Linked DNA regions of Arabidopsis thaliana. The protein of the gene in region 2 interacts with the protein of the main gene of each other region in a pairwise test. Each region holds a gene or a part of one and is shown on either strand. Other genes may lie near its edges. The genes, in order: EMB1135 and AT-HSFB2B.

Evidence for each region.
Region 1: the proteins of AT-HSFB2B (region 2) and EMB1135 interact in a two-hybrid assay, tested with the Arabidopsis thaliana proteins (one large-scale study listed by BioGRID).

The regions. Positions count from the first base shown.
Region 1 is NC_003070.9:29,843,509-29,856,228, forward strand, and holds EMB1135 (RING/FYVE/PHD zinc finger superfamily protein), read right to left. Parts: upstream 9,959-12,720; 5' UTR 9,708-9,958; coding exon 9,099-9,707; intron 9,022-9,098; coding exon 8,848-9,021; intron 8,763-8,847; coding exon 8,632-8,762; intron 8,439-8,631; coding exon 8,362-8,438; intron 7,773-8,361; coding exon 7,591-7,772; intron 7,401-7,590; coding exon 7,323-7,400; intron 7,112-7,322; coding exon 6,979-7,111; intron 6,709-6,978; coding exon 6,648-6,708; intron 6,572-6,647; coding exon 6,490-6,571; intron 6,172-6,489; coding exon 6,043-6,171; intron 5,961-6,042; coding exon 5,817-5,960; intron 5,706-5,816; coding exon 5,606-5,705; intron 5,517-5,605; coding exon 5,385-5,516; intron 5,015-5,384; coding exon 4,944-5,014; intron 4,864-4,943; coding exon 4,691-4,863; intron 4,600-4,690; coding exon 4,506-4,599; intron 4,289-4,505; coding exon 4,191-4,288; intron 4,114-4,190; coding exon 3,978-4,113; intron 3,812-3,977; coding exon 3,705-3,811; intron 3,612-3,704; and 25 more. Other genes in the region: MC4 (metacaspase 4), read left to right, coding at 1-860; OCT2 (organic cation/carnitine transporter 2), read right to left, coding at 10,632-12,215. UniProt on the Arabidopsis thaliana protein: Required for normal embryo development. Necessary to acquire heat stress (HS) memory, by modulating nucleosome occupancy and regulating heat-induced gene expression.
Region 2 is NC_003075.7:7,035,653-7,048,248, reverse strand, and holds AT-HSFB2B (winged-helix DNA-binding transcription factor family protein), read right to left. Parts: upstream 5,896-12,596; 5' UTR 5,244-5,895; coding exon 4,890-5,243; intron 4,802-4,889; coding exon 4,022-4,801; 3' UTR 3,849-4,021; coding exon of another isoform or gene 3,694-3,848; 3' UTR 3,541-3,693; downstream 1-3,540. Other genes in the region: AT4G11670 (DNA topoisomerase 4 subunit B (DUF810)), read left to right, coding at 1-366, 674-745, 974-1,091, 1,432-1,604, 1,701-1,785, 1,892-2,026, 2,446-2,552, 2,631-2,708 and 4 more; AT4G11655 (Uncharacterized protein family (UPF0497)), read right to left, coding at 8,490-8,681, 8,803-8,938, 9,361-9,659; RALFL29 (RALF-like 29), read left to right, coding at 10,891-11,163. UniProt on the Arabidopsis thaliana protein: Transcriptional regulator that specifically binds DNA sequence 5'-AGAAnnTTCT-3' known as heat shock promoter elements (HSE).

The DNA.
Region 1 (12,720 bases), on a different chromosome or scaffold from region 2:
CAATCATTTCAGACTCTTGTCACAGTGGTGGCCTAATCGACGAAGCCAAGGAGCAGATTGGAGAGAGCACTAAGAAAGAAGCCGAGGACGAAGATGAATCTGAAGAATCTTCTTCAAGATTCGGGTTTAGGAAGTTCTTGCGCAGCAAAGTGGAAGGCGCCATCGAGTCTCGAGGGTTTCACATTGGAGGGAACAAGAAGGATGAAGATGAGGCGGAAGAAATCGAGACTAAGGAGATTGAGCTTGAAGACGGAGAAACGATCCATGCCAAAGACAAATCTCTTCCTCTGCAGACCTTGATTGATATTCTCAAGCAGCAAACAGGGAATGATAATATCGAAGTTGGGAAAATCAGGCCAAGCCTTTTTGATGCGTTTGGTGATGATTCGAGCCCGAAAGTGAAGAAGTTTATGAAAGTGATCTTAGGTAAGCTTCAGGCTGGAAATGGAGAAGAAGGTGGATTAATGGGAATGCTTGGCAAATTGGCTTCAGGGTTTCTTGAGGGTAAACTAAACGATGAAGACTATGTGAAACCCGCTATGCAGACACACGTTGGGAGTAAAGAAGAGGTTTATGCTGGTGGATCAAGAGGTTCGGTTCCGCTTCCAGACAGCGGGATACTGATCAGCGGTTGCCAAACCGATCAGACCTCTGCTGATGCGACTCCAGCGGGGAAACCAACTGAGGCTTATGGAGCGATGAGCAATTCGATACAGACGATATTGGAGGAGACAGACGGTGAGATATCAAACAGAGAAATGGTTACAAGGGCTAGGAAGGCATTGAAGAAGCAAGGGTTTACTCAGCAGCCAGGTTTGTATTGCCATGATGGTTATGCCAACGCTCCTTTCATCTGTTGAAAACAGAGGTTTTATTGAATGTTTTTTACTACGTACGACACGTTGATTGAAGTTTCTGGTCGGAAAAATAAGCCTGTTTTTTTTTTTTGCTGTTTGATGGCATTTATGTAATTTACAAGTTATGTGTGTTGTGTTCTGTGAAACACTAAAATTCTTCTTGTTTTATTGAGATCTATTATGTTGGTTGTGAAATTATTTTTTGTTTTTCTTTTCTTGTTAACTCTCTGTATTCTGCACATCAATAAGAAAAAGTTTTTTTTAACGGAACATAAGAATGAATCTTGTTAGATAAATAATATTACATCTATGTATCATCTTGCCAATTTGTCATGTGATATACACAAAAATGAAAGTCAAGTGTCTTTTTCCTCTTTTTCTTAAATAAAGAAAATACAAAATAGGCATGGGAACTTGATTGTGGAGCTTTGAGGGTGTATGCTTCTTATAAATACTCGTTGTCTTAATCATCAATCTCTTGAACCCATGCTAAATCTGCAGAAACAAAAAGACAGACACAAATCAACGACTGTCGAGATAACCATTCTGTTTCCTTGTCGGATTTATCATATGATGTCTCAAGATCATGAGATAAGCTCGCAATACCTTGTAAAACAGTTTCTACAGCTGCATTTGGGATGGAGAGGCCCACTATCCGCTGATTATCCGTCGTAGTCTCTATGCGTATAACTCGAATTCTCTTGTGGCTGTGACGGGCCTGCAAAAGATCCAAATACATATAAGTTTCCATGCCAACACACTAAGAGAGAGTCTCACAAATTCTTGAATGGTCTTTGTTACTTGTTTGGAGAGAGCTTTCTCGATGGTTCCCCAGATGGGAAGAATAAGGCCACCCACAACGTTTACTTCCTGTATCCTACGTCCAACCGTGCAATACTCCCCAAGCTTACACTTGGGTCCATGCATACACTGTACTCAGATGGAAACTCATTTAATGAACAGCGCTATATCAATGGTTATGACTTATGAATCTCTTGTGAGGCTTAAACTATATTACGCCACGATGATTCTGTGCTAATCTATTTTTCTGCTTTGGTTCTATGTATTCTCAACTTTATTTTTGATAGGGGAAGCATACCTGTTTTGATGAAACTTCGTACTCGTCCTCCCAACCAGTACGAGCCTTCTCCAGAGAAGATAGTTTTCGGTATTTAGTTTTCAACTCTGAAAGAGACATCTCCCTGGAAAAAATAAACAATAGTTAAGACCACTTTTTCTAGTCAGAAATACGAAATGTAAAGGTTCTGCCAATGGTGTAGTAGATACCTGATCGACTCTCCTACAGCAGGACGTACAATCTTAAACAACCCAGAAGCGGCACTGGAAATCCAAGACAAAGTCAGCAATGAGATTTTGATAGTGTTATTAGTATTCTAATATTTGTTTGTATAAAAGGACCACATTATCCAAAGAGTAGTGAGGATAATGATTTACCTCTCAAATGCTAATATGAAGTGCCGTCTTCCTAACCATTCCCTTTTAGATTCAAAAAAGCCATCATTAGCTGAACCAAGCCCGTCCCTTCTCTTTCCCTCTAGCATTGAACTCGCAGACTGGAACACAGATCAAATCAAGCTTTTGAGTGCAGTGAAATACGACTAAGTTTACCAAGAGTGAAAGATATTGAAGTACCTCCCATGTTACACCACGATCTAGAGTAAAAGTAAAGAGCATAGTTGAGGCACCAGACATTTGATCAACATGGACGGTCTGAAAAATTCAAATATTAGTAGCAAAAATACACCAAGAACCAATAATTAAGTAAGACATATCATCAACCTTTGGAGTGCTCAGTAGCTCAACACTATTAGCTTTCATATCCACAATTCCTGAGTCAAAACTTCCTTCTATCCGAGCATTATGTACAAGAACGTCTAATATACTAGTAAACAATTCAAACAGCCTGTACAGCACAAGAATAGAAAGCATTAATACAAACGGAAGTTGCTTTTAAAATGGAAGGTAAGTTACATAGAGCAAATTTCCAATTGACGCATAATACCTATTCTGGATATCAGGTGGCAATCCTAAGAGGCGATTCAAAAATCGTCCAACATCATGCATGTCAGAATCAATAATACGTCCTGAAAACCTTCCAACATCTTTCCCATTGGCTGTATCATTAATGAAGTAAAGTAAGAAAGGAGATTACTACAACTAGAATTTGAATTCTGTACGGAAAAAGAGAAATTACGAGCAAAGCATACCCAGAACACTGTCCCTAACAATTCCAACCGCAACAAGAGCAGCCCTTGCCTTGGTCAAAAACTCTTTAACTGTTTCGGGTTCATCAATCGAGCATCCAGGAGGAAGAACAGGTAGTTTCTCCTGACAATTAAGCCATACTATATTTCACACTTTATCCGTTATCATTGTTCCTAAATACTGAAGAAGCAAAATTAAGGAGTTAAGAGACTACAGGCTTTTATGAGGAATACCTGCTCCATTATGCCTCGATACATCACCATCAAGGATTTTTTACCAAAGTTACTATCATAATTATACGCACTCAAAGAAGGCCCGGAGGGCCCAGCCCTGCAGTACACCACACCAAATTTTGAGACAAAACACATGGCAAGGTTTTAAGCAATAACAAGCCAAAAGACTAACTAAGAAATAGTTAAGAAAGGGACTTTCCTGCGGTCTCCCTGTGTTAAAGCACCAAGTGTTTCTAGTCTCTTTGCAACAATAGAGGCAAAGCGGCGTTCCCCACCGAGATTAGTGAAGAGTAGTCTGACAGGACCAAAACAAAAGAACTATCAACTTCAACAGCATACTTTTGCTATTGGACGGATACAAAATTAAACACAAGCGTTGTCATTCAACCTATATTCAGGTGCAGATGTCTGATTTGACCGGTGAGTTCTTCCAAATTGCTGAATTGCACGATCAGCACTCCAGGGAAGCTCTAAAGTCAAGTGAACCCTTCTTTTCTGCAGACATATATAAAAAATTCCAAATCAACTAATACCCCCAAAGCGGACATGTGAAGTCCTCTGAGGTCATCTCTGACAATTAACTTAGATCTACAGAACAATAAGAATACGCAAAAAAAAAAGACAATTTTATTTAGTAGGAGAATTTATAAACTCGACACACCTGATTTACTGCCCTTCTATCTGCTTGCAACGAAACACCAGCTGACCCAGCTTCAGAAATAATGGCAACCAACTTTTTACCATCCATAAATAGTTGCTTCTCGTGCATGTTGACCATTTCCATGGTAATATCCTTTCTAGAGCCAAGAAGCACAAGGATGAAAAGCAGATTACTAGTGCTGAATAAGTTAAAGTACTGAGAATGAAAGCTTACGTGTTTCTTGCTTGATATGTAACACCTTTCCCATTCGATGCTCTTACAAGCATACCTCGCCTGCCCGTCATTTCTGCAACTTTTTCAGGGCCTCCAAGCTGCATTAGTACATATAAAGCACAGCAATTTAGAGACATTCTAAAGTTTTCAGAAGTTAATTTAACCACACAATTAGCCTTTGGATACTAGATGCCAAAACTTGAATAAATGATTCATAGATACCACTAGCGTTATACCCTAAAAAGAAAGGAGACTCATGTATAACCATGAGCTGCTTCATACCTGAGAAAAAACAGAGACGTAAATGATAGTTACCTGATCGACGATGTCATCCAAAGGATTGTTTGGAAGATTCAGAGAACGGATGATCTCTATGATCTTTGATTTTCGTTCAAGCGCTGCTTCATACCTAAAAAGAAACAAAATGGGTAACCACTCTTAAAAAGAATCTAATACTTTGCTTCTGTACCAGACACAAGTTGCTATTTCAGTGTATAGACCTTTTCTGCAATTCGGCAATGTAAAGACGTCTTGCTTGAATGTACTCCTCTGTCTTTTCCTTACAAGAAAAGCAAATCCACGCTTCAGATGGTAAGTCTATAACTGGAGGAACCACACAGTCCGGATGAAAAAGCTTGTCACATTCAGAACAATGGAGCAACTTCTTCCTTTCCTAGTTTCATCACCAGACAAGTTATTAAAATCTCGTAACCCTCAACGGTAATCAAGCTATCAGAGTTAAAAGTAAAGTACATCTTCCCCACTGCATATCTGACATATCTGGAACTCATCATCAGAATCATTAGAATCGTCAGCAGAGTCAGCTGCATTGAAAACACTAATGATTAGAAATGTACAGACCTTGAGGTTATAAAATTCGAATGATTGAAGAAACAGACCAAGATGGGGCAAATACAAAGACTAGAGATCTGAGGATAATACTTGTCCCAAAACATGATAATGTCATCCCTTAAGCAATTTCCAATATTGGAGATATATAGTAATACTAATACATAGGGGATAAATTAATAAGCTTATTAGCTGCTACGTAGATTTCCAGTTCAATAGATACGTTTTCCAGCGCTTAAAGAACTACATTCAAAACTTCCCATATTATTTTTCACTACAGCCTAAGCATCAATATTGTGTCTGTTCAGTATGTACCAGAATACATGTTTTCACTAGGAAACCCACCTTCAGACTCCAAATCACTTTCATTATCACTATCTGGTTTCCACTTTGCCATCTTTCTTACTCTCCCTCTAATTGAAACACCAGGTGAAGCTGAATGCCTCTTCCTCTGAAGTTCTTTAACACTATCATCCTCTGTAAAAGTTCAAAAGAGGCATACTATGAACATGAAATAAAAACCACCAGGGATTTAAAAGCAAAACCTCTTACAGAGAGTAAGTTACCTGACAGAGGTTCAGGCTGCTCGGGTAAGGGATAATTCTCTTCCACAAATTTCAACAAGAGCTCTCGAGGTCCCGAGACAAAATCATCAAGCTCAAGACCCTATGCCAAGAAAAAAGGGGGAAAAGATTATCAATACGTAGACATTAGTTAGATGGAATCAAAAAAGGATACTTAATATTTTTTCCAAAAGTAGTATGAAGAGAAACACACATATTTATTTACAGCCTCTTCGGTTCGAGCCTCTCCAGTACTCTGAAGGCCAATAACTACACACTTGTTTGTTGACAAGGCTTTCTTAGCTAACCTCACAGTTACAGGGACTTTAGCTGACATACACAGGTGTCTAAAGAAACGCTGCAGTAACAGACATGAAATAGATTGACCAATCAGCAACAGTAATAACATTGTCTAACTTTTGCCTGTGGTAAGATTATACCTGGTGGCTTGACCAGTATAATCTCCACAACTGACTAGAATTTGGTTTCTCGTTAGGGAGAAAAGCACTTGCTGACAACAACTCTATCCGTAGCTCTGCCCAAAATTCTGCAGACTTATTGTACATTGCCTACAGAAGAAAGCGAGTAATACAGCACAAAAGTCCTGATTTTAATTTTTCGACAGGGATCTCTAAACTATAAACAGGGGAACACTCGAAATAATGAGCTTGCTTGCCAAAAAATATCAAAGCACCATTGAAAATTATCTAATCCCAATAAAGCAGACAGAAATTAATGTAAGAACTTGGTTCAAGCTACCTCAGAGACCCCCTACTCTTCATATATACTACTTTGTTGAGCTTACACGACATTTATATAGAGCTAGATAGTCAATTAAGATATGAGAAGCAATCAAGCAACATAATATTAGATAGAAGATGATTTACCTCCATTCCTGCTTCTAAACGAGCTTCAACAATCTCAAACTCAGCCCCTTTGTAACTCAGGGTTCGGCATACATACATCCCCCTATTACATAGAAGGGGTGTTAGAATGAATTATGAGCAATGCAAATGGCTAAATAGTATGACACGGCTTGTAAAACCTCGCTTTCATATCCATGGCAACCAATTCCAACGCTCCTGTCCCACCTTTATCAAGGGCACCTGCACAAAGTTGTGTTAAAGTTCCATTCCAAGTTATGCAATGCATAAGGTAGAGTAAGAGAAGCGAAGTAATTATTAGAATTCAGTGAATGCGGTCAAACTTCATTTAATGAAATATTTTGTATATGCTCTAGACAGAAGCTAAAACCTGACACTTAAATGAATTCATGTTTATCGAACTATAAGATAGAACGTACTAATCCAAATGTTACACACACACACAAAAAAAAAAAAATCAATTAATCAACAGGAGTAGAAAAGAAAACCAACCTAGGAATTTGTTAAAATCACTAAAACTTGTTCCAGCTCCCCAAAGACCAAGCCTGACCATATAACCCATGTTTCGTGGTTCTGATGCCCCAGTAGCCGAGCAATAAATAACACGTGCTTGGGGGATCTTATCCTGCTTTTCCAGAATTCATTAGTTAGAGTCAACTAGATGGCACTAACCACAAATTAAGCATGTTAAACTAGAATATACACTATATTATCTGAAACCGAGAAAAAGTACAACCCAAAAAGACAAGTCGAAGTATATAATCTCTCACTCTTCAGAGCCAAGAGCAATATTAAAAGCAACACTGATAAGAACATTCAGTTTCAAGTAGCCAGACCTGAATGTCAACAACTGCCTGTCCGATGCGTGTCGGCTGACTCCCAGCTTCAGGTACCAAATTTTTCGCTTTATGGCACTATAAAAAAGGAAAACAAATTAGTACCTGCACAATGTACTAAAGATTAGAGGTTGGCCCAAAATTGATAAAACCAGTGATCAAGCAACTTACAACGACAGGGTATACTCAAATTGTTCAATTCACAAAAAAAGGGGGATGATGATTTTAACGCAAATAATTTAATATACTTCATTCATAGAACTGTTACCTCATCAAAGATCAAGAGACCATCAAATTCTGGTCCACACCATTGAACAAGCTGCTGTAAACGAGAACGGCCCTTCTCAGAGGAAGCAATGAGGCTATTGTATGTCAAGAATACCACTCCTTCTTTAATACCAACATTTTTCGAGTCAAGCTTAGAATAGGGTAGCTTGTTCAAAGGATTCACTGCACGTCAAACATATTGTTATTTAGTTGCAGAAAAAACAAACTGGACATTTGTTCACTTGAATGAACTTATCCATCGACATGGTTCCCTTGATTTGTCGTATTTTTCCATCTCCTAATATTCTATTAAAATTCCAAGCTCAAACCTATAAAGGATTAATGAGACTAAGAATCAAATATCCTATTGGACTATTCTAAAGTTACAGTCCAACTTTTATTTACCTGAAATTTTCATGAACTGCACAAACATCAGCTACCCATAACATTCTCTAGGCATGAAGACACCATAAACAAAGTTCAGGGACCCATTACCTTTATCAGTAAAGAAAATAAGTTCTCTAAAAATACATGTGTACTCTACATCGTAATATTAAAGCATGAGTCAATTTATCCATTCAGCAAAGTCAGAATCTCATTCTGATCCAGTCTACTCTATACCATCCACTTTCAAAATTTTCTATTCAACAATGAGCCAGAAAATAATTTATAGCATAAGCTATATGTAATTATGTATAACATATGAAGCATTTGTGACCCAAGAAAATAAGCGAATTACAAACTTAATTTACAGCCAAAATCAAGATAATACCTCCAACGCATGTAGCACCCACATCATCCAAGTCCCTTCTTGCATCATATTTCAAGTCTGAGCCAATAGAAATCCACCTATGTAAATCATAAAGGAAAAGGAGCAAATAGTATTAGAACTCATCCTACTTTAAGTTATCTAAGAAACCAAAAAAGGACACCGTAGACACAATTATGCAAATGTAGTATAATCATAAGTCAGATTGAATTGAGCTAACAATATCTTATCAAGGATGTAAATGGCGCAGAAGTATCTTTCTACAAGACTTACAAAGCTTTCCTCCTTCCATGTTTCCAATTTTCCCAAATCAACCCGGCAATTGTTCGCCCTTTGCCCACACCAGCACCATCTCCAACAAAAAAGCCTGCTCTGGTACCATCAGCAAGGTGCTGGAGATGCCTCTGTAATAAAAAAAAAACCATTGTCATACAGGTAGAAGATACGTTTAAATGCCATTAACCAAACTTTTTGCCATTTAAAAGCAACCTGGCAAGCGTAAACTAATGTCTCAATCTGCAAACACGATAAAGCCTTTGACCTTTCAAGCTCTTCCTTGATTTTGAGATCATAAGTAGGCTCTGGGGGTTGCACTGCAGATAGAGATGATGTTTCCACAATTGGATCAGGATGAGGAGGTCCGATCGAAAGTTTTGGGGGACGCTTCACAAAGAAACAAATTAGTATCATCAAAAACATTGAACAGACAGAAAAAGATGATCTCAAGATGAGGCACTCACATAATCCATAAACGTTTCTCCAGCCGTTCCACCTTCATCTTCTTCTCTCTCCACTTCAATAGCTTCCTCATTGACTTCTTCGGGAGGAGGCGGAGGCGGGACTGTGGGAGCAGCAGGAGTAGGAGGATTAGAATGAGATTGAGAAGCAGTTAAAGACCGATTAAGCTTGGAGACATCAACAGCGAGCTCGACATGGCACTGAGGACACGAGAACCGAGTGAGTCCATGAGGCACATTGAGGATAGCCTGACAGTTAGCGCAAGGCAATTGCATCTTCGTCGGATCGATTCCATGTGCCGGAACCGGAGGCCTAGGTAGATTAAGAGGCTTAAGCTGCTGTTGAATCGGTGGCGGAAGCGTCTGAATTGGCTGTGGTGGTTGTTGTGGAGACTGCGGAAACTGCGGCCGTGCCCTAGAAAGAAGCTCCGGCGGCAACATTTGGGGAAGTTGACAAGTCGGACACGAGAACTCCACAACGCCGGTTTTCACCCTCAGAATCACGCGACAGCCTGCGCACCTAACCTGTACATCGCCTCTTATTACACCTCCGGCGGCGGAATGCGGCTGAGCTGGGAGCGGCGGAGGCGGTTGAACAGGCGACTGCGTCATGAGCCGCGGCGATTGATCTTAAGAGAGATCCGTGAGAGGCCTTAGGATCTTGTGGCGTTGAAGGAGATAATTGAGAGAGGAAGACAAAAAAAGTATAAATCCAGTGTAAGTAATGAATTTCGTCAGAGCGCGAAAGGTTCTTCTTCGACTCCCTTCTCGTTTTTTTTGGTTTCAGATTTTCTTCCCTTTTTCTAATATTATTTTGGGATTGTTTGGTTCATCTAAAACTAATTATAATTACCCAAGAGGAGTCGAAGTAGGAAGATACAAAACCACTTCCGTACCGGTTGGGGTAATGGTAAGTGATGGGTTGATGGATCACGTGTCATCACGTGACTTGCCAGCTCACCGTTCGTTAGTTTGTGTGGGCTTAAAATAATAAATCCACATAAGTTTTGGGTTTGTGAACTTTGAGACCACTTAGTTGGGCCTAAAAGGGTTACAAAAGGGCTGATAGATGGGCCTATTTGTAAATTAAACCTTTTAAACATATCTACCAAGAAGTGTACAAATTTCTGTCTGGTTTGTTCTTCCCATTCAATTACCAAACAGCCAACTACCAACAACCCCAATGAATATACTTTCTTGGGATTGGAACGATTCATTTTCACACAACGTGTGAAAATTAGAACAGAAACACAATTATCTCTAACAAAAATCAAACAGCCAAACGTTTAACCATCGGCATCAATATCCAAACGAGACAAATTTGAATTATTTTGTTATTCAAGAAATCCATGTGTTATAGGTGTAAACTGTAAAATGAGATTGTTTCATCAGAGTGGTGCTTTGATGGCTCATTCTTAGAAACACTTTTCAACTAACCAAAAAAAAAGATATGTGGTAAGTCTTAATGTAATCAAGTGATAAATACTAAATTAAATCTACATTAATTTCACATGTGTTTTCAAATTCTTCACCATTTCATGCAATGACATTATTAACGGCGACTTTACTCCGCCGGTCTTTGCACTCTTCCTCGTCCATAGTGTCACATAGATCACTCCCTCTAGTCTCTGGCAATCCAACTGCAAACAATCCCAACAAACCTATAGCAAGACCAAACAATCCGAACGACCAGAACGCGTTTTTCCGACCAGCTGCTACCATAATAGGGCTGAAAACTCCACCAAGCACCAAAGCCTGTCTAGCCATTGCGATAGCCGAGTTTCTCACACATGTCGGAAACAGCTCGATCGTGTATATCATCTCCATGTTAAAAGCCGAACACGCGCTAAAGTAAGAGATTAGCTCTAACGCCAACTGTAACGCCCCGTGGTTTCCAATTCTCATATTATGTAACGCAAATATGAGAACGCTAGAGACTCCACCTAAAGCCGTAAATCCGATAAGCGCGTTTCTCCTACTGAGTTTATCGACTAGGAAAAGCGTGATGAGGTTCGCTGGTAAATCCATCAACGCATTAAACGCTGCACTTAAATAGATGTTGAAATCAAGATTCGATAACGCTAAAGGCATCCCGTAATAGACCAAACCAATCCCGAACGCAATGGCCATTACCGCGGATAATCTCTTAAGCGCCCATCTTTTCTCTACCAACACCTTCATGGTCGTGAAGATGTTAACATTAGTACTAGGCTTCTCTTCATCTTCTTCAAAAGGTAAGCTCGAAAAACTCATAGATATTGCACCACCACTGCTTACATCAGTAGACGGAATCGAAGCAACCCTTTTGAGAATCGAAATAGCTTCTTCTCTACGGCCTCTAACGAAAAGCCACCTTGGAGACTCACAAACGAAAAACCGAACAAGAACGCAGTATATTATCGTTGGAATCGAAGTCCATGCGTAGAGAATCCTCCAAGAACTTCCTCTGTTCATGTAAGCCATCAAAGGAAGAGACAAAAAGCCAAGCATGAATCCGAAGAAACTCATTATCCCTACTCGTCCTCGCCATTTCTTCCCAACTAATTCCGTCGAAAGAACGAGCGCACATGTCCCTATCGTCGCTCGACCAAATCCATTAACGAATCGAAGAACAGCGTAAACCCAAATGTTTGGTGAGAAAACCGTTAGCATCGTTGATATCGCCATAACGAGACAGGACAGAAACAACATGTTTTTACGACCCAAGGAAGAATCAGCAAGTGTTGAGAGAACCAAACCTCCGATTAAACATCCGACGAAGAAAGAACTCTCCGGTAAGCCCTTGACGAAAGAGCCGGCGCATTGGAGACCCCATTCGGATATAACAGAGACGTGAGGAGAGTAATCCCAAGACCATGCGGTTTTGGGGAGGATACAGATGTTGGAGATGGATTCATGGCAGATCGAGTTCGAGTCGGTGCAGTGCCACGTGGGTTCGGAGTCTGTAAACACAGAGATGAAAGTTTGTTGAGCGTCGAAAACACCGGAGAATGAGACTAAAGCCGCTTGAAGAAACTGAGCCCACCCAAAGCTTCCAATGTAACTCTCGATTGTGTCGTCGAGAGATCTCGGTGATGACGAGTTGGAATCGGTCAGAAGCGGCTGAGTTGGTTCTGCCATGTTGCACGAGTTTTCACCTCTCTTTTTTCTTTTTCTCTCTTTTTTTGTTTGTTTGTTTGTTGGGATTTCTTGTTTGTTTTGTTTTGTTTTGTGGAAGCATTTGAGACGGCGAGTCTTCCGTCCTCCTTTTATAAAAGGAAAGCTCGGAAAGTGTTGACTTTTCCACGTTGTAATCAAGTTAAATTTTTATTTTCTAAAAATGTGGTGTACAAATTGTTTACAGTGTTATGACTCCATATAATTGTTGTAATCGGATAAATATTTCTTTTTGAAAACATAAACGCGTGTAAGAAAAAGAGTAATGCTTTTCTGTGTTATATTAATAATCAGAGTATAAATAATCAGACCAGTGCAAATTCTGTTAATTTAACCAATTTCGATTCCCCAATTTTGTTTGATATTACATTTTCTAATTTAGATAGTGATGACATTGGTGTGATTATTCTGTGGATAATGAGCCTGACGTTACTATGAATCGTTTGTGGGTAAGGATGAAAACATCTAA
Region 2 (12,596 bases):
GGAGTTTCATCCCTCTCTGGTGATGTTAGAAAAGTAGTCCCTGCTGCTTATATGTTACAGGAAGAGTTAACTCAACTGTATAATTGCCATAGCAAATCTAAGTTGCGCAAACCTTACTTCCATAAGTTGAAGAATTACGAGGTCACTGACAAGATTTCTTATATAGATTGGATTTCAGAACAAAATTATATCACTTCTCAGTTTTCTGGTTTGCTAACTCAATTTAACATGTCAATAAGTCATAAAAGAGACTATCCATCGGTTTATGTGCAGATAGAAAAGGCTGTCAAACCAGTAATGCTGGACTGGCTTATCTCTCAACATGATCATATCTTACAATGGACTAGGCGAGCTTTTGAAATCGAGGTTATATATTCTTGGCAAAACATTCACATGTTGATTTCTGTCGACAGTAGATAGACATTAAAGTTTGGCCATAAGGGAAACTATTTTGATGGATCACTGTATTGAGAAAATGTTTGAAGCAAACAAAAGTTGCATCATATATAGTTTGAAGTGATAATATAGACTGAATGAAATGAAGGATCCGTGAAGTCAGAAATATTTAACATATACAGACCTTCCATCACTTTCCATAATCAATCAAATCCAAAGTATGAATGTCCAAAAGATGGAATTTTTTTTTTTAATCGTAAAGCTTTTCCATGAACAGGAGTGGGAGCCTCTATCAGTTCAACAAAGACATGCTGCATCAATCGTTGAAATATTCAGGATCATAGAAGAGGTATGTAGACCTACATACTTTCATGACATGATTATTCTGAATAGTGTGCAAACTGTGGGAGTTCAGTATGCTAAAACAATTTTCTTTGCTTTGTGTTACCTCTTGATTTACTTGTTGTTTTTGTTTACGTTCTTGCTTTACTTCTAGTATGATTCGTCCTACCTTTACTTTTTAGTGCTGCACACAATATATTTGCCGTCTTACTATCTCATTTCACGTACTCTGCAGACTGTGTCTCAGCTGTTTGGTTTACATCTACCTGTTGATATCACACATCTCCAAGCTCTTCTCTCATTAATTTACCATAGCTTGGATACTTATCTTCAGAGAGTTTTCGATCAACTAGGTATTGACCAACCCTACATCTTTCTAACAGTTGTTACAGAGTCAAGTTCTTGCATAACCATGGAACATGCTATATAAAATTATTTTCTCTTATGTCAATATCTAGAGACACATGCTTGAGCAGGCTTATATGTGTCTGGTAGATTACATGCAACATGCATGATTTATTGTTGTGTTTCTTTGTATGGGACTTCCGTGAGATTAAGATTATAGTATTAGTGTATATAGAATCTCTTGTCCAAATCCAAAGGCGATACGAAAACATTTTGAATACATGTGTTAAATTAAGCAACTTTTCAGAAGCATACTGTGATATATTGACAATTAGCCTCTATCTGCAGTTGACAAGAAGTTTCTGTATCCGTCAGCTCCTCCTTTAACTCGATTCACAGAAAATGTAATGCCAGTAATGAAGAGGAAGTCACTCGAGTTTAGTGAGCCAGATAATAAAATAGTTAAGAAACTGGATGAACTGACGATACCAAAACTCTGCATAATATTGAATACACTCTGTGTAAGTGTGTTCTTCCAAGCTAAACCTTCATAAATTCCTATTAAAACTAAACAATAGCTTCTTTATTTTTAATGTATTTTTGTGTTCATGGATCAGTATATCCAGAAACAAATCAGTGCAACAGAAGTAGGCATAAGGAAATCTTTGACACTTGTTGAAGCCTCTCTCAACAAGAGATCAGGTACGCTCATTCACTTTGGATTATACGTTTTTCTCTTAATTTTGATGGTTGTCTAGTGTTGAAATGTGCATTGGCGGATTCATTTTGCATGATTTTTTTGCTTCAGAAATCGAGACTGATGAAGCTGAAGTGGAGAATTCACTGACGCATAGTGAAGCTGTTGATGAACTCTTTGCTACCACCTATGACAGCCTCAGGGACACCAATGCCAATTGCATAACCAAAACCCGTGACCTAATTGGTAAGCTAATACAAATTCTCGTGTTATGCAGCACTTTAAATTTGAGAAAAGCTGAAAACTCTGTCCAAACTTGAACCAGTTCCCTGCAACCTTGATAAGTGTCAAGATTCAAACTTTCTGAATGCACAATCTTCTTATCCACAAACTAGATGGCTTTAGCATTTTAATACTATTTGAAGACTTACATAAGATGCATTATCAAATTTTCTGTCGTTATCTGAGATACTCGTGAATAAGCCATACATATTAATCATGTTTCAGTTCTTTGGCAAAAGTACGCATTCCTCTTTTATTGGTTGATCCTCATGGATGAGTGAGAATGTTGGATGGATTGTGTTACTCTTTAAGACTTTTGTGTTATCAACGACAAAGAAGTCGGTTTAGCTCTGGTTTCTGTATTTATTGTTGCTTTTTGTCAGGGGCAAGAGCGATTTTCTGGGATCTGAGAGACATGTTCCTTATACAGTTGTACAATGGCACAGTCGAAGGCGCCCGCTTGGAAAGAATACTCCCTCACATTGATTCAGTAAACCAAAATCATCTCTTTCTTTTATTCACCCCGTTCTACTAAGCATGAACTTACACTAGGAAATGCAATGCACAGGTCCTTGATACTGTATGCAGTTTGAGTTATGAGGACTCACGGGATATGGTGGTGTTAAGCATCTGCCGATCCGCTCTGGTAACACTTCTTTTCTCTTTTGCATATGGAAACAAGTTAACTAACTCTAACCTCTTTTATGCCCACAAAAATGGCATGCTTCTCTCCCATAGGAAGCCTATGTTCGAGTACTACTTGATGGAGGGCCAACCCGTGCCTTTTCGGATTCTGACATCACCTTGATGGAAGAAGATCTCAGTATTTTGAAAGTAAGCAACTTATATTCTTATTTTGAAATTCCGTACTTATTCTACTGGAAACCAAAGTTTTCGAGCTCTATCATCTTGTATACTCCCTGCATCCAATTAGTTTCAGATAAAGACAATATTAAAAAATACTAGAAACTAGATTTTCTACTTTGATTTTGAGGTTCGGCCATTTTGCATATGAGAACCGGGTCTTGATCCGTGGATTAGGCAGTTCCAATCTGTGTACTTAACCTACGGCGTGTGTCCCCTTGTAGGAGTTCTTCATTGCCGATGGGGAGGGACTTCCTCGTTCACTAGTTGAGCAAGAAGCGAAACAGGCGAAAGAGATCCTCGACTTGTACTCTCTCGAGGTAAATATATTTTGCTCACTTGCAAATTGCAAACTTAGTTCCTTTCTTAGAAATTATGAGATACCAAAGTGTTACGGATTATGTCCGTTGTGGCAGAGCGATATGCTAATTCAGATGCTAATGACTGCGAGCGAGCTCATCAACATGGGGGTGAGTTCAGAGCAGCGGCGCTTGGAGGATGCACAAACTCTTGTTAGAGTTCTTTGCCACAAGAAAGATCGTAACGCCTCCAAATTCTTAAAGCGCCAGTACGAGCTTCCTATGTCAACAGGTAAAAACACACACACGACCACTAGAGAACTTGGACCATCTTTAAATAAGAGAGATAAATTTCATTAAGATCATTACAAGTCAGAGAGCTACAATTGTTTTGAACTCAAAAGAAATGATTCTGTATCAACATTGCCATAACTCTTAAAAACCATTGATTCCTGCTATTTGTTGCAGAATATGAAGATGTAACATTGAATCTGCCTGCTTTATCCGAAATCGTGAGAAGCACATCCACTCACTGGAGCACAGCAAGCCAGAATAGTTTCAGTTCCATCAAGAAGAAGATTCAGGAGGCAACATCTGAAATCAGGAACAACTCAGGATGGTAGAATCAGTGTTTTTAGATACTTTTGTACTACCCCAACTCAATGAACATCTGTCCTCTTATGACCGAACACATCCCCATTTTCCGTCCGGGACAGCGCAATGGCTTGCCTATGCAATGGGGATCAGTAACAGTTTCTTGCATATTCAACAATGCCTCTGAATCGGCAAGTGTTTTTCATTTTCCGAGTTCAAGCCACGACCCATTATGGTTACCGGAGTTATTCTCCTCCATTGGCTCTGCCTTAACATCAGAACTTTGTTCTCCCTCTTGGGCAGCAGCTTCTCGTCTATCATCATCTTCTTCCTCTGCAGCACCCAATTCTTCTTCTCTTCTAGCTCGCTTGACCCCAATAGAAACCCCAAACAACCTTGGAGTCAAATCCTCACCAAGTTTCAGACCAATCCCTGTCTCTATTTCAGAAGCCATAATGGCTTCACTCATCTCTTGTCTCTCCGGTAAAAGATCTAAAGGTTTCCCTTCAGGTAACAAATGCGCACAATCTTCTTGACCCGGTGTGAAATTCGCCATTAATGTGTAGATATTCGCATACAATCCTTTAAGCTTTGTCATCTCTTTCCTCAATCGCTCATTATCTTTCCTCAATCGCTCATTCTCCTCAACCAGCTCTGGTGCAGTGGTGCAGCTCGTTGTCCTCTGCAAAGAACCACCACCAACCACTCCTCCTATAGCAGCAGCAGCAGCCGCAGGCGAAGAATTAGACGATATAACCTGTTCTTCTCCAGAGTTCGATGGAGAAACAATATGAGCTACAACAGGAACAGCTGCTACTGTAACAGCCGAAGCCGCTACGGCTGCCGCCGCCGCTGCAGCAGCCGCGGCCATAGCAGGCTGAGAGATTTTCCGCCGTTGAATATCCCGAAGCAGAATCTTCTCACCTCTCTTAAAACAATCATTAGAAAACTCCCAACGATCTGGAACTACTTTTCGAAATCCCTAAAACCAATAATAAACCAAAATAAGAGCTCACTACTAAAAAACCTAATAACTGAAAATTTCGATTCAAACGTATATTGAGACTCACGTAAGTATTGAGCTGACGAACAAAACTCGAGAAGTTATTATGTTTGAAGTATTTGGGAAGAAGATCTCTAGCGAATTCAGCTGGTCGCCACACAATAAAAGTGGTTCCATCTTCGTTCCACGAGATCAATTCGTCGTAAACCGGATCTTCCACAAGCTGATACGTTTTCGTCAAAAACGGCGTCGGAATTGACCTCTGTGAATCTCCTCCTCCGCCACCACCTCCACCACTACCACCACCGCCACCACCAGCACCACATCCACTACTTCCACCACTATTCCCGGCGCTACAACCAGCTCCACCGCCGCCAACTCCGGCCACCGTCGGAGTTTCTCCGGTTTGTTCCCCCGGCATGAGTTATAGATCAAAAATCTAAACTTTCCTTAATCCCAATACCCAAATTAAGATAATGATGAAATCTACCAATGGGAATGAGCTTTGAAGAAAGTTGGAAACATAGAGATCTCAAAACAGAAACTAGACAGAGAAGAGAAAGGAAACGTCTATCACAGACCCATTAGAACCAAATCCAAAAACTTCTCTATCTCTCTCTTGACGTAATCTACACCAACCAAGAAAGAAAGAGATTGTCACAATCCAGATTGAACACAGAGACACACGATGATCACGAAGCTAGAGATAGAGAGAGAGAGAGATTATGTTGTGAAGTTCCAGAATGTTCTGAGAGGAACGTATTGATAAGAAAGAGAGAGAAGAGGAGAGACAGATCGGAAGTTCCAGAAGACAACAACAAAAACAAAAATAAAAAAAAGAGAACGAAGAAGAAGAACAAGGGTAAAGTTGGAATTTAAAAAAGTGAAAAGGGGACCACAAAGAAGGAAAGAGTATAGGAATGCGCTAGAAGAGCGTATGTGGCTTCCTTTTCTTTTTCCAGAAGTTTCTCTTTTTTCTTCTTTTTGTTATTTCCTTTTTTGACCCTGTGAATATGTGAAACGCTATCTAGATTTTCATAACATTTTTGGTAATTAATGTGAGTGGAATAAAGTGATAGACTCGAATTGATTATTCTGAGTTGACTCTTTTTTTAATTACTTTTCTTATGTTTTATGTTCAACATTAATTATGAATTCAATATTTGAGATTCGTTTATCCAATATTATAGTCTAATTGTAATCATCGTAAAAAGGAAACAAATATCTTAGCAAAATTGTAGTAATAGTGTCATTATCCAGATTTTAAATATAAAGTTTTTATGATAAAAAAACTTTTTAAAAAAAAGAGATAAGTTGGAAAATGTATTCTTTTTATATAAATAAATTGCAAAATATGTAGTTTTTTTAGAAAAAGAAGAAATAGATAATTTTTTTTTTCCTTTCTAATACAATTTTTTGTCTAATAAAAATTTTAGTAAAAATACTTATATAACCTTTTGTTATTTGTTAGGTAGTAAAATATAGACAAAACTCAAATCAAATTCTACTTTTTCTCTTTTTTTTTTTATTTAAATATTTTTACTTTGTTTGATAATAATTTTTCATAAAAAATTACCACATAATCATATTAACTTTTAAAATTTTTATGTGAATCTAAAAAGTCTAATTTTGCTATATTTCAAAAATATGTAACACTTTTTTATTTAATCCCAGCCGACGGTGTATGTGATATTGTTAAAACTGGTGTACAAATGTTAGTGTACGACAATAATGTAAAAATTAACATATAATACTGAGAAGTGATAGACTCAGTATAATTGTGTACAAAATAGTGTAAAGAGATGATGGAAAATATGGTGTACATGATCGTACAGCTTTAAAGATCTATGAGACAGTGTACTAACATTGGTGTACGAGATATACACCACTAATTGAAATAATGATTTATACATTTCCTAGAAGTGTACACCAAGTTTTGTACACTTTGTCTAATAATCTTGTATGCTATCATTTAAAAGTTGTATACATCATTCTATCCATCAATCGTCATAATAGTTTCAATCATTTTGTACATCATCAAAAATACTTTAATTATGTACACCATCATGTACACTATTATATTGAGTAATCATATAAGGTTTATACAATCATTATGTTTATAAGAGAAGTCGGTGTACTTAATGATTTATGAAATATCAGTATACACATTTGTACACCAACGAATAATGGTTAGTGTACAAAACTATGTTTGAAATGTTTGTGCATTGGATTGATGACATATAATTACTCTAAAAGTTAATGTAATGTTTTTTAAAAAGAATTTATTATTTAAAAAAATATTTTAAGAAAACTAAAATAAAAAAATAAAAAAAATAAAGACAAACAAAATAAAGTACAAATGGTCTCTCATATTATTTTTATTAGCTCTCAAGATAAAGGGTATTTTAGTATTTGATATGTATTTTGTTTTTTTAATCTATTAGACATATCCTCTATCTCACAAAAAACAAAAAAGTGTCTATCTCTCTAATTTCTAAAAAAAACTATCCACTTTACAAATTATTTATGAAAAAGTGTCTACTTTGCCAAGAAACCCAAAAAAAAATCCAGAAAACGTAAAACAATCGATTTATGATGTATTTTCATAGTCGAAAGTCATGAATTTGAATTGTATACTTAACATGTATAACTTTCGGTAATCTTTAAAAAAAAAAAATCTAAATGTCTTAAACTATTTGCAAGAAATGACAAAAAAAATATATTATTTTTATGTGAGCATTTAAATTATCAAAAATAATTTATATAAATCCATTTATATAATCGTTTTCTGGAAAATTAAATCCAGTTATAGTAGTTAGGATATACATCATTTCCAGGTGGGAGGGGAAGAAATCCAGTTTTACTATTGCGATTACAGAATTTCCGGGCGGTATAATGTTTTATCGTCAAACATATCATTATACATTGCAGAAAGAAACACCCAAATTTCTCTTGTCACTACAAGATTGTATTACAACAACTTTCTCTTCTCTAAGTTCAGTTTTAGAATCTGCTTTATAAATACAATGAAAGTGAATACCAAAAATAAAAAAAAGTGAATACGAACATAATTAAAATATGCATGTTTTCATTATTTTTTTTATTTTGATAAACTTTATTGGTTGGTCTGGTCACCTCCGATAAAAACGCATCAAAATGCTTAAGAATTTTAACTAGGTTTTAAAATTCTTCATTCTTATGACCAAATATGATAAATATGATAATAAGACCTTAATTCATTCATTGACCCATCACTATTTTAATGACACTTCATCTACTTTGTAAGTGAAACACTTGCAACTTCCTTTTAATATAGAAAATAGTTTTTGTCACATCTGAAGAACCCTTTTACCAGTTAATGATAGTACTTTTGGAAACTATACGAGGAAAACTAGTTTACACTTGATTAAGTTTGTTTGGTACAATGGTCATGCATGTACAAATTATCATTTGATTACTGCAACATTGACACATGGTGGTGGTTATCTTATATTTCTCTAAAAAAAATTCGGTTATTCTTTCAAATTCTAAAACGTTGGCGATAAAACAAATAAATGTTGTATAAATTTTACATTCCAACAAACAAATATATCCACATAAACATAAATAGTCATTACTTCTTACGGATTTAAACATGACTTGAGTATAAAAAAATTACAAGATTTAATTACCACATAAATCTCTTGCAAAGCTTATACCCTGACAAGAGGCCAGAGAGTGTCAAAACCAAAAATGCAGAGAATGACATTGAAACTGAAACTATAGAATTGTTTCTTAGTGTTTTTATCGCATCCTCGTTTATATGTTGGATCCATGCAATTGCCACGGAAGAAGATGACACTAGTAGGTAACATATAACCTGATTAGGTTTTGTATACAAAAATAAAATTAGCTCAATTTTTTTTATATGTTAATTGTTAACACATTCTATTATATATGTACTCAACGTATAGAAATTAATCAATAATAATGTAAAATACCTGGTCAAATATGAAGCTGATGTAATCCGAGAGAGGCTCAGAGATTAAAACTCCTCTGTGAGTAATATCACAAACTCCTTTGAATGTTTGCAAACTTGTATACACGAATCCTATCACTGCAACTCCAAAACAATACCTGCATATATCTTAACGTACCAATTAGCATAGAGAGAAAAAAATGTTGAAAATTTTTGGATGATTTTGTTAATGGATATTTATTTTTAACACGCCTACACAATATTTTCGGTTCATATATAAACTATCAAAATATTCATTTCCATGCATATTAAAGATAATTAATACTTTAATTTAATTTATCAAAAATCCCAATTTAATTCATTTCCATTACAATTTTCGGTTCATATATCTTTAATTTAACAGAAATCAGCCAATCTTTTCATTTTATTTTTTAGACTTTTTTTTTTCAAGTATCCCTTATTATTTTAGTAAGTGAACAACGATAATCCAGATTTGCTTGGAAATAACAACATCATATTCTATATAAAATATTAGTATTAAACAATGAATTAAAGAAGATAAGGTTCTTTAGTTTCTTACAACAGTTCAGGATATGAAGCAAAACTCGAGGAGTTTTGTGTCAGATGTCTCTTCGAAGGCCGTTGAACATTCACTGCCAACGAAAGAGCAGAGACGAAACATAGAACCATAGTTATAAACCGGAGAACCAAACCGATAACATGAACCGATGCTCGCCGTGAGCTGAATCTTGATGCTGACGGCGTTACGGAGTATGCAAACAAAGACGGCGTCTGTTGAGAGACAGGTGACGCCGTTACTGAAGCCTCCGATGATGGTCCATAAGTGATCACTACAACGTGATCTTTAAGCTCTTTCATCAAATATATTCGAGTGTTCCAAAAATAATTGAAGAGATTGATTCATATATGTGAAGTCTTGTTTTCTGAAAGATATATTAAAGATTTGACTAGTGGGTTGCTTTTGAATTAAGGATGACATGAAGTTTCACCGAAAGTTTGTTAGAACTCTATACAGTTTTTCTTCCACGTTATAATCTTATAATATGGTTGTATGACTAATAATTCCTAATATTTTTCTTTCTAGTTGACTAAATTTCTCTTGCAAAATGAAGTCCACATGGGATAATTGAAACTATACCCAGCAGTTCATATTTTTGTATATCTTGATCAATATAATACATAGTGAATTAGTGATCATGAGAAACAGTATCGAGACAATGTTGTTTTGGCTGATGATTAATAGTCGAAAGAACAATATATTTTTGGAGTGAGGCAGCCAAATTGAATTCAATATCAATACTGCCAACAAACTATTCAGACATAGAGACATATCTTAAAGTAATATATATATTGCTAAAACCCCCAAGCAAAAACCACTTTTTATTTTGCCTTAGTTTTGTTCTTCTTTATCGAATTCGTCGTGTAACTTATTAGTATATATAACTTATTAGGATCGATCCTAAAATACTACATAAGATTAATTGTGGATTTGCATTTTTTCTCGCGTAGTCTCTAAGATAAAATTTTGAGGTGAAAATACACACAAATTAAATCACTATCATTAAATATTACGATAAGTGTACCTAAATTTGTAAATTTTCTATATCCAGACATGGATTTCCGTCAAAATATCATGATATCGGAGATATTCAATCCGATCTATCAATTTTTATATGTTAAAGTTTAGAAATAATTATAAAATAGCACTTTATAATATTAAAAATAATTTTGCAATTTTTAAACATATCAAAATTTTGAGATGTAATACTAGCATTAGGAGACCGATATTGTTTTTTGACAAAACAAAAACTGATTGAAATTAAACCAACAAAAAATGATATGTTAAAATCTCAATATTTTCAAATGTTTCAAAATTAATTAATGTATATATTGAAGAAAAAAAACTGAAACTAAAACTGTAACACCAATTCAGTTTTTTTTTAAATATATTTAATAAAAATATCTAAACTGGAACCAAACAAAGATATGTTTTAAAGATAGTGAAACTATAACTTATCGTTTTGCACTATATATAAAAAACAGATTTTCCAATCTTTCCACCAAATATAACTAATCCAAAATCTAAATTATGATAAAAACAAAAGAAGTTACGTTTGTGACGATTTTGATTGTATTATGCGTGTTTATAAGTACCATTCATGCGAAAAGATATATTGAGTATCCAATTAGATTAGATTTAGGTAAAGGTTGTGATCCAAGATTTCCTACCGCTGCATGTTATAAGCGCACACCAGCAAATCCATATAGGCGTCCATGTACTACTGCCAATAGATGTCGTCGTTCTACTTCTTCTACACGAGTACCATCTTTGAAAACTTTTGTGGAAATACCACCAATGTAAACCTGATATTAATTGTTAAGAAAGTTATCAAGTATTATAACTTGTTCCCATTAATCTTTTTAACAACTATTTATCAAAAGAAATTTCATTTACATGGCAAATAATCAAATGTTCACATTAATATTGTATGACATAAATCCATATACACCATTATGTTCATCGAGTATGAATATCATACTTCAAGAAGTTTTGTGAAAAAGTTCTTCAAATATCGTTAAAAACACGATTATGGTTATTCAAAACAGTGATGGATAAAAGTATTTTGTTTTGTACACATTATTCTTTCTGTTTTAGGGGGAATTATGATTAAGACTTCATTGTCAAAGGTGAAAAGAATAAATTTAATTTTTTGAATAAGTAACTTTCGTTTCTAACATATATTGATTACTTTAAAACATAAGATACAAACGTTATACAAATCCATCAAATCATACATTATCAGTAATAACAAAGAACGATATAACAGTGGAAGTTATGCTTTTGTGTGGAACGTTTTACTCGCTAACGAATTTTAAGAAATATGTTACTTTATTTCCTTTTACTCAAACTAAAGATGATACGATATTTTTCCTTCGTTGTCATCAATTCTGTGAAACTCTAAGAATATTGTCGCATAAAAAACGACATTGCTTCACCAATAACTTAACTTTGTTAACATGACAACAAATTAAAGCCTTGAATGGCTGCAGTTTTTAGAGTAGTTTTTGGATTGTGATTTTTTAAAAACCAAATAAATACCCATTCATGATTCTACAAAAAGTAGATTTTCTAAAAAATAGGAAAACCAGATTTTAAGAGTTTTTAGCTATTTCTTTATAAAATCTAAAAACCAAGTTTTGTGAGTTTTTTAAACAATTTACGTAAAAACTAAAAATTAAACAAAATTCCATTCATGATTTTGCAAAAATTAAAATCTACAACAAAATCAAAAACTACAAATATCAAAAACCAAAATCCAAAATCCAAAAACCAAAAACTAAAAGCCAATAAAAAACTACAAAACATTCAGGACCTAAAACATATCGAATTCACTGTAACTCTATTAGTACTCAACAAGATAAACCATTGGATCTCTTTGTAATTATAGCTTGTTGATCGTTTGTTGGGGATAATTGTTAAAAGAATCTTATTTTACAATATATTCAAAGCTAAATTAGTTCAAACCTCAAGGTATGGCCGTAAGGTAGATATTATCAATCATGCTCTATTCCAATGTCTTTTTGCCAGGTTGGTTTGGACACTCTCCTCGGCTTCAACAATATTTTACCCCATCCATGTCCTCTTTAGTTCCTCTTCTCCCTTATATGACCCATTGGCGTGAGAAGTTTCTTTTACCCCATTTGTAAAACCCATGATCTTGTCATATTGTGTGCAACCACTTCTTTCTCAATCAACTCCATCGGTTCTTGTCCCTTTGTCTGAACCATTGGTGT